3 linked regions of the Drosophila melanogaster genome follow. The protein of the gene in region 3 purifies or fractionates together with the protein of the main gene of each other region. This does not show direct contact. Each region holds a gene or a part of one and is shown on either strand. Other genes may lie near its edges.

Region 1 (3,752 bases), on a different chromosome or scaffold from region 3:
TATTCACAGTCAGTTGGGTGATCTATGTGAGTACATATTTAACATTTTTATTCCATTGTTGATTGCGTGGGGGGGGGGGTTTAAGGACTCACCGCTCCCACCTCGCGTCCAGCATTTGTGGCCGTTGTCAAGACTGTGGTGGCCCCAGCCGCTGCCAATCCCACAGTGCCACCAGCCACGCCCAACCAGTGACCACGCGCTTCGCGGTCCGTCACATTGATAGACTGCTCATGTTGGCTGCGATCGAATAGCTTGCTGCCAGACCGCGATGCGGCGTATCCAGCACTGGCCAAACCTACTACTCCCGCTGCGCCCATCAGCGGAGCGGATACGGGCAGCGTTAGCAGGGCAGCAATGGGCACACAGGCAGCAAAAAATCCTCCGACTGCCGACCCAGTATCCAGGTAGCCCAGCACCTTCCTGTTGGTCGTGCCCGCCGGCGTTGTGTACTTATCCAGACGTACTTGATCCCTGACCAAGCGGTAAATACCCTTCTCTGGGGCCACCATCACTCCGGCAGGCAACTCGTTGGTGGTCACATACATCTCCCAGTTTTGGTAGACCCGACCAAGCTCGTCGATAAACAGATTGCAGCAATTCGAGCTGACGCTGCTGGTGCCACTACTGCCAACTGAGTATTAAATGGATCCATTGATAGATAGATAGGAAATATATTGTAAATTGCATACGTATGCAAAGGATGACTCACCGACGCATCGACGGGCCCGAAAGACTGGGTGCACGCTGAAGACTCTGGCGTCCTCGGCGCGATTGACGTCCGTTTCGTCAGTTACCACCATTACGTAAATGATCGCCGTCAGCGATTGACGGTTGGTATACTTTCCTGGAAAACAATTGTACGCAGTTAAGGCAGCGAAAAAATGTACTATACTATATACAATCTGTAAGTCCAACTCACGTTGCTGCCAAACGGAATCGAAAATGATCTGACGGGCGCGCTCATTATCTGCGTTGACCTTCAGCCGGATTTTTCTGTCTTTTTCAGTTTCCGTTGCAGTTTTCGGTTCCGGAGAATCACGAATCAATTGACAGAGTTTGCCCCTTAGCACGTCATGTTGTTCATGGGACAACCTGTAAGGGGTTACGTCATTACCCCAAATACTTTGAATTCAAAATTCTAATGCGCAGTAGCAGTACTTACAGATCCCAGATTATCTCTTCCGCGTAGCCGAGCGACTCGGCAAAGTTTTGCTGCACTTCACGTGCGGTGCGGGTAACTTCATGGTTTCCTAATCTATTCGCCATCCCTAAGTTGTCACCTTTCCGTTGCCACAGTTGTGCTGCTAATGGAGTTGTGCCACGGAATCACCAGCTTTTAAGTTAAGGCGCACACTAATTGAACGATCGTACTCGAAATACCGAAAAGGCAAGACGGCAGAAAAGCTCTCTAGGGATCATACCTTTATATGAATACCCCGTATTCCACCGTCACCTTCTTTGGTGAGCAAAATTTAAAAAGCTGCTAGCGTGCTAAACCCAAAATGTAACGAGACGATGAGCTCATGCTAATCAGATATTTGCTTTGTATTTCTAGCGAGCACATATTATATTATAAAAAAAAAAAATATATATATATATATATATAGGCAAATCCATTTAAAAATATACATTTACATTGAAAACTTGCTGACAAAAGTTTTGCTTGCAAACATTTTTAGTACTTGGTGACCTAAAAAATCAGATTCTAAACTTAGTACTGCCAGCTTTGGCAACCCTAAACTATGAATGCTGCCTCCCGCCTATCGATAGCCGTGCAATCGAACCGGCTCCGCTCCAGCTACGCCTATCGGTTCCAGCACGAGCCAAACAACCCTACGTGTCAGTCTCATGCGTCGGTGTAAATACAGAGTTTTTTAAGTTCGCGGCGTGCCAATCTCGCGATATCTTGCAGCAGCAGCAGCAACAACACCAGCTCCTGCCCCATTCGAATCTCGCAGATCGCCGCGTGTCGATCGAGAATCCACGGGGCGCAGCGATTGTAGCGATAACTCCAACGCGACAGCAACATCAGCTGGATCTGCCGGAGGAAAAGTGCAGGGGAAAGCGGCGGCAGAGAAAGGAACGGAACGGAACGGAGCCAAAAGGCAGTGCCAGACAAAATACAAAATACATATAGTCGCTGTCGGAGATGGCGGGTCAAAAGTTTCAGTATGATGAGAGCGGCGGAACGTTCTACTACTTTGTGTTATCGTTCTTGGCGCTAATATTGATACCGACCACCATTTACTATTGGCCACGTAAAAAGAAACAAGGTAAGTGCCGCTTGCCAGCCGATTTAAATCGCACTCTCTCCGCTCTTGTTTTTTAATTTTCCACCTGCAGCTGTGCGCGTGTGTATGTGTGTAAGTGAGTGCCAGTAAGGCGAAGGCATAGACATACATGTGATTACCACGCTCTCCTGCTCTAACCCTCCCGCCGCCACCAACAAACTAAATGGACACGTTCCAATAAGTTATTCTAACAACGTCAGCTCATCGTCTTCGTATGGGTGAAAGCTGCGCTGCGATTACCGCAAGTCGAGCTCTCTTCGTTTTCCAATTGGGACAGCGCACTCAACGCTCCACAAGCGTCCATGCGTCGCTAATATCGTGATAACTTACCTATCATCGTGATCGGTGGAGGAGGAGTGATTATGAGCAAGTTACCTTTGACTTATCGCGATCATGCTGTGCTTGTGCACTTTGCACACACGCTCACTGACCAATCGGCTGCTCTCTCACGATTTTCCTCTCGCGAGATTTTCATTTCTGTAGCGCTGGCATTCCCGGTAAAAAAAAAAATGCAATATGCGTAGACAGACCTCAACTAATTTTAATCGTAATCAGGTTAGCAGGTACCTGTAAAGATCGTTTTTTTTTTAAATCATTTTATTAGCCATCTTAAGTGAAAATGATAAATTTCAAATATTTTAAAATAGCCTATATAATCCCCGTACTGACCCAATTTTCGTACACATACTTGCAGATAACAGCAAACTTAAAGAGGAATGTCAGTGCGCCGACTGCCAGAAAAAGAAGACCATCTTGGCCAATGCCGAGCCGTACAGAGCTCTCACGTCATGGACCATCAAGCTGACCATAGTGCTGGGGTGGGCCCTACTGCTCTTCCTCACGTACCGCGTCTCGCAGTTCGACTACGAGATGGCCAGCTTCGATCCCTTCGAGATCCTGAATGTGCCGCCGACGTCGTCGCAGGCCGAGATCAAGAAGGCCTACTACCGGCTGTCCAAGGTGCTCCATCCCGACAAGGAGACGGGTGACGAGAAGTCCTTCATGATGCTGAGCAAAGCGTACCAGGCGCTGACCGACGATGTGGCAAAGGAGAACTACGAGAAGTATGGTAATCCGGATGGACCGGGTGCCATGTCCTTTGGCATCGCCCTGCCCTCGTGGATTGTGGAGAAGGAGAATAGCGTTTGGGTTTTGGGTCTGTACGGCCTGGTCTTCATGGTGGCCATGCCCTCGGCAGTGGGTGTTTGGTGGTACCGCTCCATCCGCTTCAGTGGCGACAAAGTGCTGCTCGATACCACTCAGATGTACTTTTACTTCATCCACAAGACACCGCACATGCTGCTCAAGCGGGCACTTATGGTTCTGGCAGCCAGTTTGGAGTTTGACAAGCGACACAACTCGCAGGTCCAGGAGCGGCAGTCGGACAATGACGAGGTGCCGGCGGTGAGTGCATTTTATTGGAATTTCCATTCGTTGTTCGCTCACTAATAACACTTCCTT
Region 2 (3,752 bases), on a different chromosome or scaffold from region 3:
GCTCCTGCATTTCACGCTGCTGCTGCTCCAGCAGTTCCTGCTGCTGCTGCTGCTGCTGTTGTTGTTGTTGGTGCTGTTGCTGATGGTGGTGCTCCGCCTGCAGTTGCTGCTGATGGTGCTGCTCCTCGGGCGTCAGTCTCATATCACGGGGCGCCATTGCCGGCAGCTGATCGTCGGGCGTCACCGCCGCCTCCTGCTGTTCCATAAAGCCCTGCTGTCCGGCAGCCAGCATGGCGGTGGTGCAAATGGAGCCGCACTGCGTGCATTTGTACTCGTTGGGCTGCTGGGTGGCCGAGTGGATGCCATAGATGCTGCACATAAGGCAGCGGGACAGGAAGGCGGGCGTCTGATGGGCCAGCCGATGGTGTTCGTCTAAATCGACGGCGTTGCCAAACTTTTCATCACAATTGAAGCAGGGGTGGCTGAGCTTGGGGTGCTGCTGTGCCTGCGGATGACCGCCGTCCAGCGTGGCAATGGCTCCCTGGGCGTTCAGCGTGATCCCGTGGCACAGCTGCATGTGATCCGCGACGTGCTGCGGTCGCTCAAACTGCTGGTGACACATGGGACAATAGTGCGGCGACACGTGCACATTGGGGTCCATGCTGAGATTGGGCAGAAAGGCTGTCTTCAGGGTGTCCATGTTGGCTATCACGGTGGCCACTTGGTGCGTGGGCGTGGCTGGGGCGGCGGTGGAGGTGGTGGCTGAGGAGGGGGGCGGCGGCGGCGGCGCTGGCGACTGATCCTCGGGGCGTGGCAGACGCTGTTCCTGTGGATTCGTGGTGGACTTTATCATTTCACTTCCGCTGGCGCTTGGAGAGTAATCGCTTCTTTTGGTTTGACTTGGTTAGTGGGCAGGAGCAGGAGCAATTGGCGGTTAAAGAAGGCGATATGCGCTGCAGGAGTAATAAAAATCATAATTACAGGCGGCCACAAGCGAATGTATGTGCAAGCGTGTGGGTGTGTGCTGGTGTGTATGTGTGTGTGTGTTCTTTGAGTCTGGCAGTCGCAAATTAGCAGGAACGAATTCGGAAATCACAAATTCACGAAATCTTCAGTCCCGATCTTCTGCATTTGACCCCCAATGTCCCCCCACAGCGGCTGGCGAAGAAGAGGAAGAAGGAGGAGGAGATGAAGAAGAAGAGGAGCGGGCAGCAGCAGCGGCAATGCGTTCGAATTGAAAATTTTTTTCAGTCTGTCATATTCTAAATTCGGAATTCTATTTTGATTGCTTTTTCGGTCTCTCGTTTTGTTTCCATCTTTCTTACCAGCGCACTGAATATTTACTGCACCTTGTTGTTGCTGGCGGCCGTTCGATTTTGTTGTATTTGGAGCGGGGGTCACGAAAATGCTGGGGCGGCCAATCAGTTTAATAACATTTTCTCCTTTGTACAACAAATAAACGTATATTAACAAAAAAAATTTTTCACTTTTATTATTATTTTTGGCGAAAAATGTACAACTACAACAAAAAGTATCGATTACTGGCATCGAAACTACGATGGCAACGTCGCTCTAGAACTGACGATGTGGCAACGCCCTTGCTAACGATATATTTTTCTGCCTTTTCCTAAAATATGACAAATAAAACGTTTTCTAAGTATGCAAATTAAAGTATAATATAACTTTAACTTAACGTTATAAAAATTGTAAGCAAAGCTTTCGATATTAGGAGTTCTTCTATTTCCAAATTTATCGGGTCTATCGTTCTGCGATAGCTCGATACTTTCATAAGCTGATAATTTCACAACAATTGGAAAAAGGATTGTTTGGAGAAATACAATAGAAATATTATTGCAACAAGGGTTGCAATTGGCTTCCCCTTATATTGGTCATCTATAGTGCCAAAACTGTCACTTGTCCTCCACCGCGGACATATCAGAGTCCACCTGCAACCCGCCGTTGGTCAGGATTTGGACAGAGGCTTGTTTGTAAACTGCCACAATTACCACCGATATAGAACTCGATCTTCTCAAGCCAAGTTCCAATAGGTTTGTGGAATCACAGCACCAAATTGTGATCTATATTGACTCTCTTTCGATTGTGCAGAATGTCGTCGCCATGGGTTAAGACCAGCGAGCCTGTGCAGCAGGTGAATCTGGCGGATATAATGTCGGAGCAATATGCCCACAAGTTGCACGACAAGGAGCTGCAGCGCCACACGGAGAAGCTGAAAAGACCGGACGAACAGATAGCACCCGTTTGGGGGTCGCAAGCCTCATCCCCGCCAGCGCCCAATGCGCAGAGTATCCAAAGTGATGCGGAGGATTGGGAGGATTACTCTGCGCTCCTCAATGACGAAGGAAACGTAGCGGAGGACATTCAGCTGCCGGAAGACAGCGATGCAGTTATTGCCCAGCTGTTGCAGTCCCAGTTCGATCACGAGTACAATGAGGAATTGCGTCGTATCGAGCGGCAGCAAAACAAGCAATCCAAGGTCACTGTTACCCTCAATAAGTTCCTACGTGATGGCGATGCAGAGTTCTTGCACGACACCGCGGAAGATGACTACGAAGAGGATGAATTGGAGCAACAGAAGCACGACTGGGATCGGTTCGAGGACAATGAACGGCAGCTTGACTCCATACCTCGCTGCGGCTTTAAAGTTAACAAGGAGGGCGAGATGATAACAAAGCACGATCCGCAGCTGTGCGCCGTGCGTAATGCCCAGCGCGTGATGTCCTTTCCGCCGGAGTTTCCCACCGGTGATGCTGCCGGTTTCGACATGAAGCTCTCCAATAAGGTTAGAAGCGGTCAGTTTTAAGCGATAATAAGACTTAAACGTACCTTTCAGGTGTTTAACCAACTACGAGCCCATTCTCGACGAGGCCGCTCCGACAAGCACGAGAAAGTGGCCACCGCGGAGATGGGATTGGATGCGGGTACACGTTTGCTGCTGTACAAGCTGATCAATAACCAAATACTGGAGCAGATCAACGGCATTATATCCACGGGCAAGGAGGCGGTCATCTTGCACGCCAATTCCGATGCGAACTATACGGGCAGCAACGAGCATGGTCACCAGAGTGGTGTGCTCGTTCCACCGCAGCTTTTGCCCCGGGAGTGTGCCATTAAAATCTTTAAAACCACGCTCAACGAGTTCAAGCAGCGCGATAGATACATCAAGGATGACTATCGGTTCAAGGATCGCTTTAGCAAACAAAACCACCGAGTGATTATCAATATGTGGGCCGAGAAGGAGATGCATAATCTGATGAGGATGCAAGCCATTGGCCTAAACGTTCCAGACGTTGTTGTGCTGAAGAAGCACGTGCTGGTAATGCGGTTCATCGGTGACAATCATAACGCTGCGCCCAAGTTAAAGGATGCCCGTCTGAGCGACGCGGAGCTGAGTTGCGCCTACGAAGAGATTGTGGCCGCGATGCACAAGTTGTACAATGAGGCGAAGCTGGTGCACGCCGATATGAGCGAATATAACATACTCTGGTTCGAGGGCAAGTGCTGGTTTATTGACGTGGCCCAGAGTGTCGAACCGAAGCATCCCAGTGCCCTGGAGTTCCTGATGAGGGATTGCGGCAACATTGTTAACTTCTTTGAACGACGCGGCCTGCCCAACATTTACACCAAGGAGCAGTTGTTCGAGTTTATTACGGGTCTCAATTCAGAGGTCCACACCGCCGCTCAGCTGGAGCAGATCCACACGCGTGGCGCTTCCATTAGCCAAGCCACTGCTCCGAATCAGGAGGAGTGCCCCGACGAACTGAAACCCTTGGAGTATCCCTTTGAGCTGGCCT
Region 3 (3,752 bases):
TTTGTGCCAGAACAGCATGCCCAATGCCTGTTCGCCGTTGTAGCCGTACTTTTCCTTGGCCACCGAAATGTACTCCTCCACTGCAAGGTTACAATACGTGTCTTAGTATTCTATTCGCTGGCACAACCCAGAGATCAAATGGGCAAGTAAGCCACTAATACGTACATTTCAGATCAGGAATCTCCTTGGTGGGCGACCATACGAGGAGGGCGCGTTCGTTCATTTGTTCCGGGCGGCGCTCCGCTTCCGGAACGAGCGGCGGACAAACCGCCTGGTAGTCGCGTCCAACGCGGATTTTCTCTATGAAATGAAAATTTGTTTAAAGACCACATCGTGCGGAAAAAGACTACAGGTACTCACCTTCGTACTCAGACTGCTTGGCCTTGCTCTTGCCGTTCCGTTTGGTGGCTGGAAAAGGGAGACGGTACAGATAAGTGGGCTGAAGTGGCAGGAAGGTAATTCCGGGGCGTTTCACTTACAGTTGTCGTCGTCGGAGCTCTCCGGCGTGCCTGCACCTGGCACAGCTGTGGTGGTCTTCTCGTTCGCATTGGCGTTCCCGGAGTGGCCGCTGTTGTTGCCGCTGCCCACGAGGCTGGCGCTGTTGGTGACGCCGCCCGTGGTGTGCGTATTGGGACTGGGGCCGCGCGAACGGCGCCCGTTGCGCACCACATCCGTGGTGTTGCGCTCCGCCAACACCATCTTGTCCCGGATGAGCTGGGCGCGCTTGTTATGCTTCTCCAGGGTGCTAGTTTTGGCTAAACACGAGCACTAGCGAACACGAGCACTGCGGAGCTGCAAGAACAGTGGGGACATGTGTTAACGACTGATTCGGACACGGATGACAGCCGTACTCTGCTCTCCGGCTGAAAAATCCAGCAAATAGAAACTCTGCACCGCGTTTGGCGAGAGTGTGCGCTTGGCAAGAGGCACTTTTCCCGCAACGAGCGCAGAAGTGCGCTGTCAAACAGATACATTCATAAGTGTGCGTGCGTCCGTGTGAGCGTATGCGCGTGTATTGCGTGTGCTAGCGACGCGTGTATAGGTGTATGGGTGAGGGCCAAGCCAGCTGAGTTTGGAAACGGCAATGCATTTGGATTTGAATGCAGGAATCCGAATCTGGCTGGACGGAGGGACACGGAGGGACTCGGAGGACGCCTACCTGGTACTCTGGTGCCCCACAAGCACACAACCGAAGACGCTGCCACACGGATCTCACTGCACGTACCGTTTTCGCCCGCTTACGCAGTACGGCCTGCCGGACGCGGAGCTGGGGCTACTTGGAAAGGAGTACTCTTGGCCAGAAACTCCAGATACGGAACGCTGCGAACGGCTGGTCAGTGGAGTTGTTGCGCGCAGGTAACTGAAATCCAAACTGAAACGCGGAAAAAAAAACTCACTCGCGTACCGATTCTCTCTGGTCGTCCGTGGGCACAGCGCACTTTGTCGCCGACGACCGCAGTTCAGCTTTGTCTGTCGGTTGATCCGATTTTTTGCCCTCGCCTGGCTTCTCGACAGGCGGCCCCTTGGATTATCCTATCCCCGTTTTCGTTGGAGATCGAGAAACGGCTTCGCTTGCCCCTTTTTGATGGACACTCTCAGCACTTTTTCTAGAATATACGTCAGAAAACTGAGCGAATGCTCAAATTAATTTAAACTGTGGCTGTAGCAGCCACGGTTGCAAGGGATACACAAACTATCGATTAGGCCGCTCCGATATTTCGCTTTTGCCCTGTACAGGGATGCCACACGGCAGGCTGTACTGAATTTCGGGCAGACGACATCGATATTCGACATCTGTTTATTCACAGCCAACTTTAATGTGGTTTTACGCCATACATATGATGCTCGTACAGCAATTATGTGACTGATGCAAGCGAGAGCATACAAATACGGGGATATGGGTGATTTGTAATTCCACCCCCATCTGAGCGCAGTCCAGGTGGCAACGACGCTGCCCCCGCATGCCTATCGACCGATATACCGCAGATTCGCCAGTTTTCCGCAAGGTGGCGACTACGGCGGGCGCAGACTAAAAAGACAGACTTTTTTCTATATAATATACGGCAGGAATCAGTGCAAAAACCGATCCAACGCAATGGCTGCTAGATTCATACAGAAAATTGTAAGACCCGTTTAGGCTTAAGCGACTTGACCCGCCCCGCGTCGCGCCTCTTAACCCCACCATACAGCGACCAAACCAATTCTGCAGGACAGCAGTTGATTACGTGCTGGCCAAAAAGTACTGGCCAACTACCACTAACATTGCGATTTTGTTTCTCGTCCGACGCTCCTGCCCTCCAACTCCACGCCCGCTAACCAACCCTGCAAACCACCGATGCAATGATCTGCGATTCCGCGATTCCCAACGACAACAACACATTACGCAAAACACTTGCAGCTCAATCAACTGGGTTTGATTGCAGCGCGTGATGCTCCGGCGGTGACTGCGACGCCAGCAGTGAGCCAGGTTGGTTCCATAACAGCGGCGGCAGCGACGGAACCATCCGGGATCCGCAGTGGGGGCCACCACCTCCTTCGCCAGGACATCAGCTGTCCGTCCGGCGAAAACGAAAAGAGCACAGCATTAGAATTCGCATTCACTTTACATAACACTCTCTCTCTCGCTCCCTCGTTGCGTGGCCGAGATATCGATAACGGCGGGCAGGGCGGGTGGTTCGGACCCTCGAAAATCCCACCCCCTACTCGAGAGGCGGGAAAAAATCAGTTACCGAGATTGGGCCCTGATTTGCGGCCTTATCAGCGCCGTGGGAATCATTTGTGCACTCTAACCTCAACGCGACGAACTGTTTGGCACGGGGGGTAGGGCGGACGGGATTTTTGTTTGGCATGGGCACTTATGTAATCCCGCTAGATGCTGCTGCTGTTGCTGCTGCCCATCTATGCGTTTTCTCGCCACCATTTCTGTAGATCACTCTGTAACCCGCCTATGGTCTTGCTATTTTCCAGGTCAACGCGACTCCCGCCGCCAGCCGGTCCTACTCCTCCGGCACCAAGAAAGTCACCCTCATCCCTGGCGATGGCATCGGACCTGAGATCTCTGCGGCCGTGCAGAAAATCTTCACCGCCGCCAATGTCCCCATCGAGTGGGAGGCCGTGGACGTGACCCCCGTCCGGGTAAGTGTCGTAATCCCAGCCAGAGTTAGTGGTTCAACTTGACATTTCAAATCCAAGTTGAGCGCCATCGCCTTCGAAGCGCGTGGCCGTTTGACAACAGGTGGCAACTACGGTCGTCTGGGCGGTAAATTTGAAATACAACCAGGCTCTAGTTAACATTCCATTGCCATATATTCGATATAAATGCCAAATCAATGGATACGAATCCATGCAATATTTTCGCCAAATATTAATTTGCTCTGTTAAAAGCCAAAAAAAAAATGCATACATATGTCGGAGAAGACGACACATATATAAAACAATTTGCGAGCTAGCTTTATTTATTTACTTCTTATTTCATTTGTGCGTGACATGTTAACAGGGACCCGACGGAAAGTTCGGCATCCCACAGGCCGCCATTGACTCGGTGAACACGAACAAGATCGGCCTGAAGGGTCCTCTGATGACGCCCGTCGGCAAGGGCCATCGGTCTCTGAATCTGGCCCTGCGCAAGGAGTTCAATCTGTACGCCAACGTGCGTCCCTGCCGCAGTCTCGAGGGCTACAAGACGCTGTACGACGATGTGGACGTGGTCACCATCCGTGAGAACACCGAGGGCGAGTACTCCGGCATCGAGC

What was found.
Region 1: the proteins of Idh3a (region 3) and Sec63 purify together in Drosophila melanogaster (affinity purification with mass spectrometry, with the first as the bait; one large-scale study listed by BioGRID). This does not show direct contact.
Region 2: the proteins of Idh3a (region 3) and CG3008 purify together in Drosophila melanogaster (affinity purification with mass spectrometry, with the first as the bait; one large-scale study listed by BioGRID). This does not show direct contact.

Annotation. Positions count from the first base shown.
Region 1 is NT_037436.4:7,358,759-7,362,510, forward strand, and holds the start of Sec63 (secretory 63), read left to right. Parts: upstream 1-1,802; 5' UTR 1,803-2,149; coding exon 2,150-2,273; intron 2,274-2,880; exon of another isoform or gene 2,881-2,985; coding exon 2,986-3,695; exon of another isoform or gene 3,696-3,752. Other genes in the region: pst (pastrel), read right to left, coding at 1-22, 93-631, 710-1,092, 1,163-1,266.
Region 2 is NT_033779.5:4,881,600-4,885,351, forward strand, and holds the start of CG3008 (uncharacterized protein), read left to right. Parts: upstream 1-1,698; 5' UTR 1,699-1,988; intron 1,989-2,046; 5' UTR 2,047-2,047; coding exon 2,048-2,740; intron 2,741-2,791; coding exon 2,792-3,752. Other genes in the region: Cf2 (chorion factor 2), read right to left, coding at 1-793.
Region 3 is NC_004354.4:19,520,043-19,523,794, reverse strand, and holds the start of Idh3a (isocitrate dehydrogenase 3a), read left to right. Parts: upstream 1-1,990; 5' UTR 1,991-2,095; coding exon 2,096-2,122; intron 2,123-2,398; coding exon 2,399-2,467; intron 2,468-2,967; coding exon 2,968-3,135; intron 3,136-3,496; coding exon 3,497-3,752. Other genes in the region: CoRest, read right to left, coding at 1-80, 166-300, 361-408, 480-699. UniProt on the Drosophila melanogaster protein: Probable catalytic subunit of the enzyme which catalyzes the decarboxylation of isocitrate (ICT) into alpha-ketoglutarate.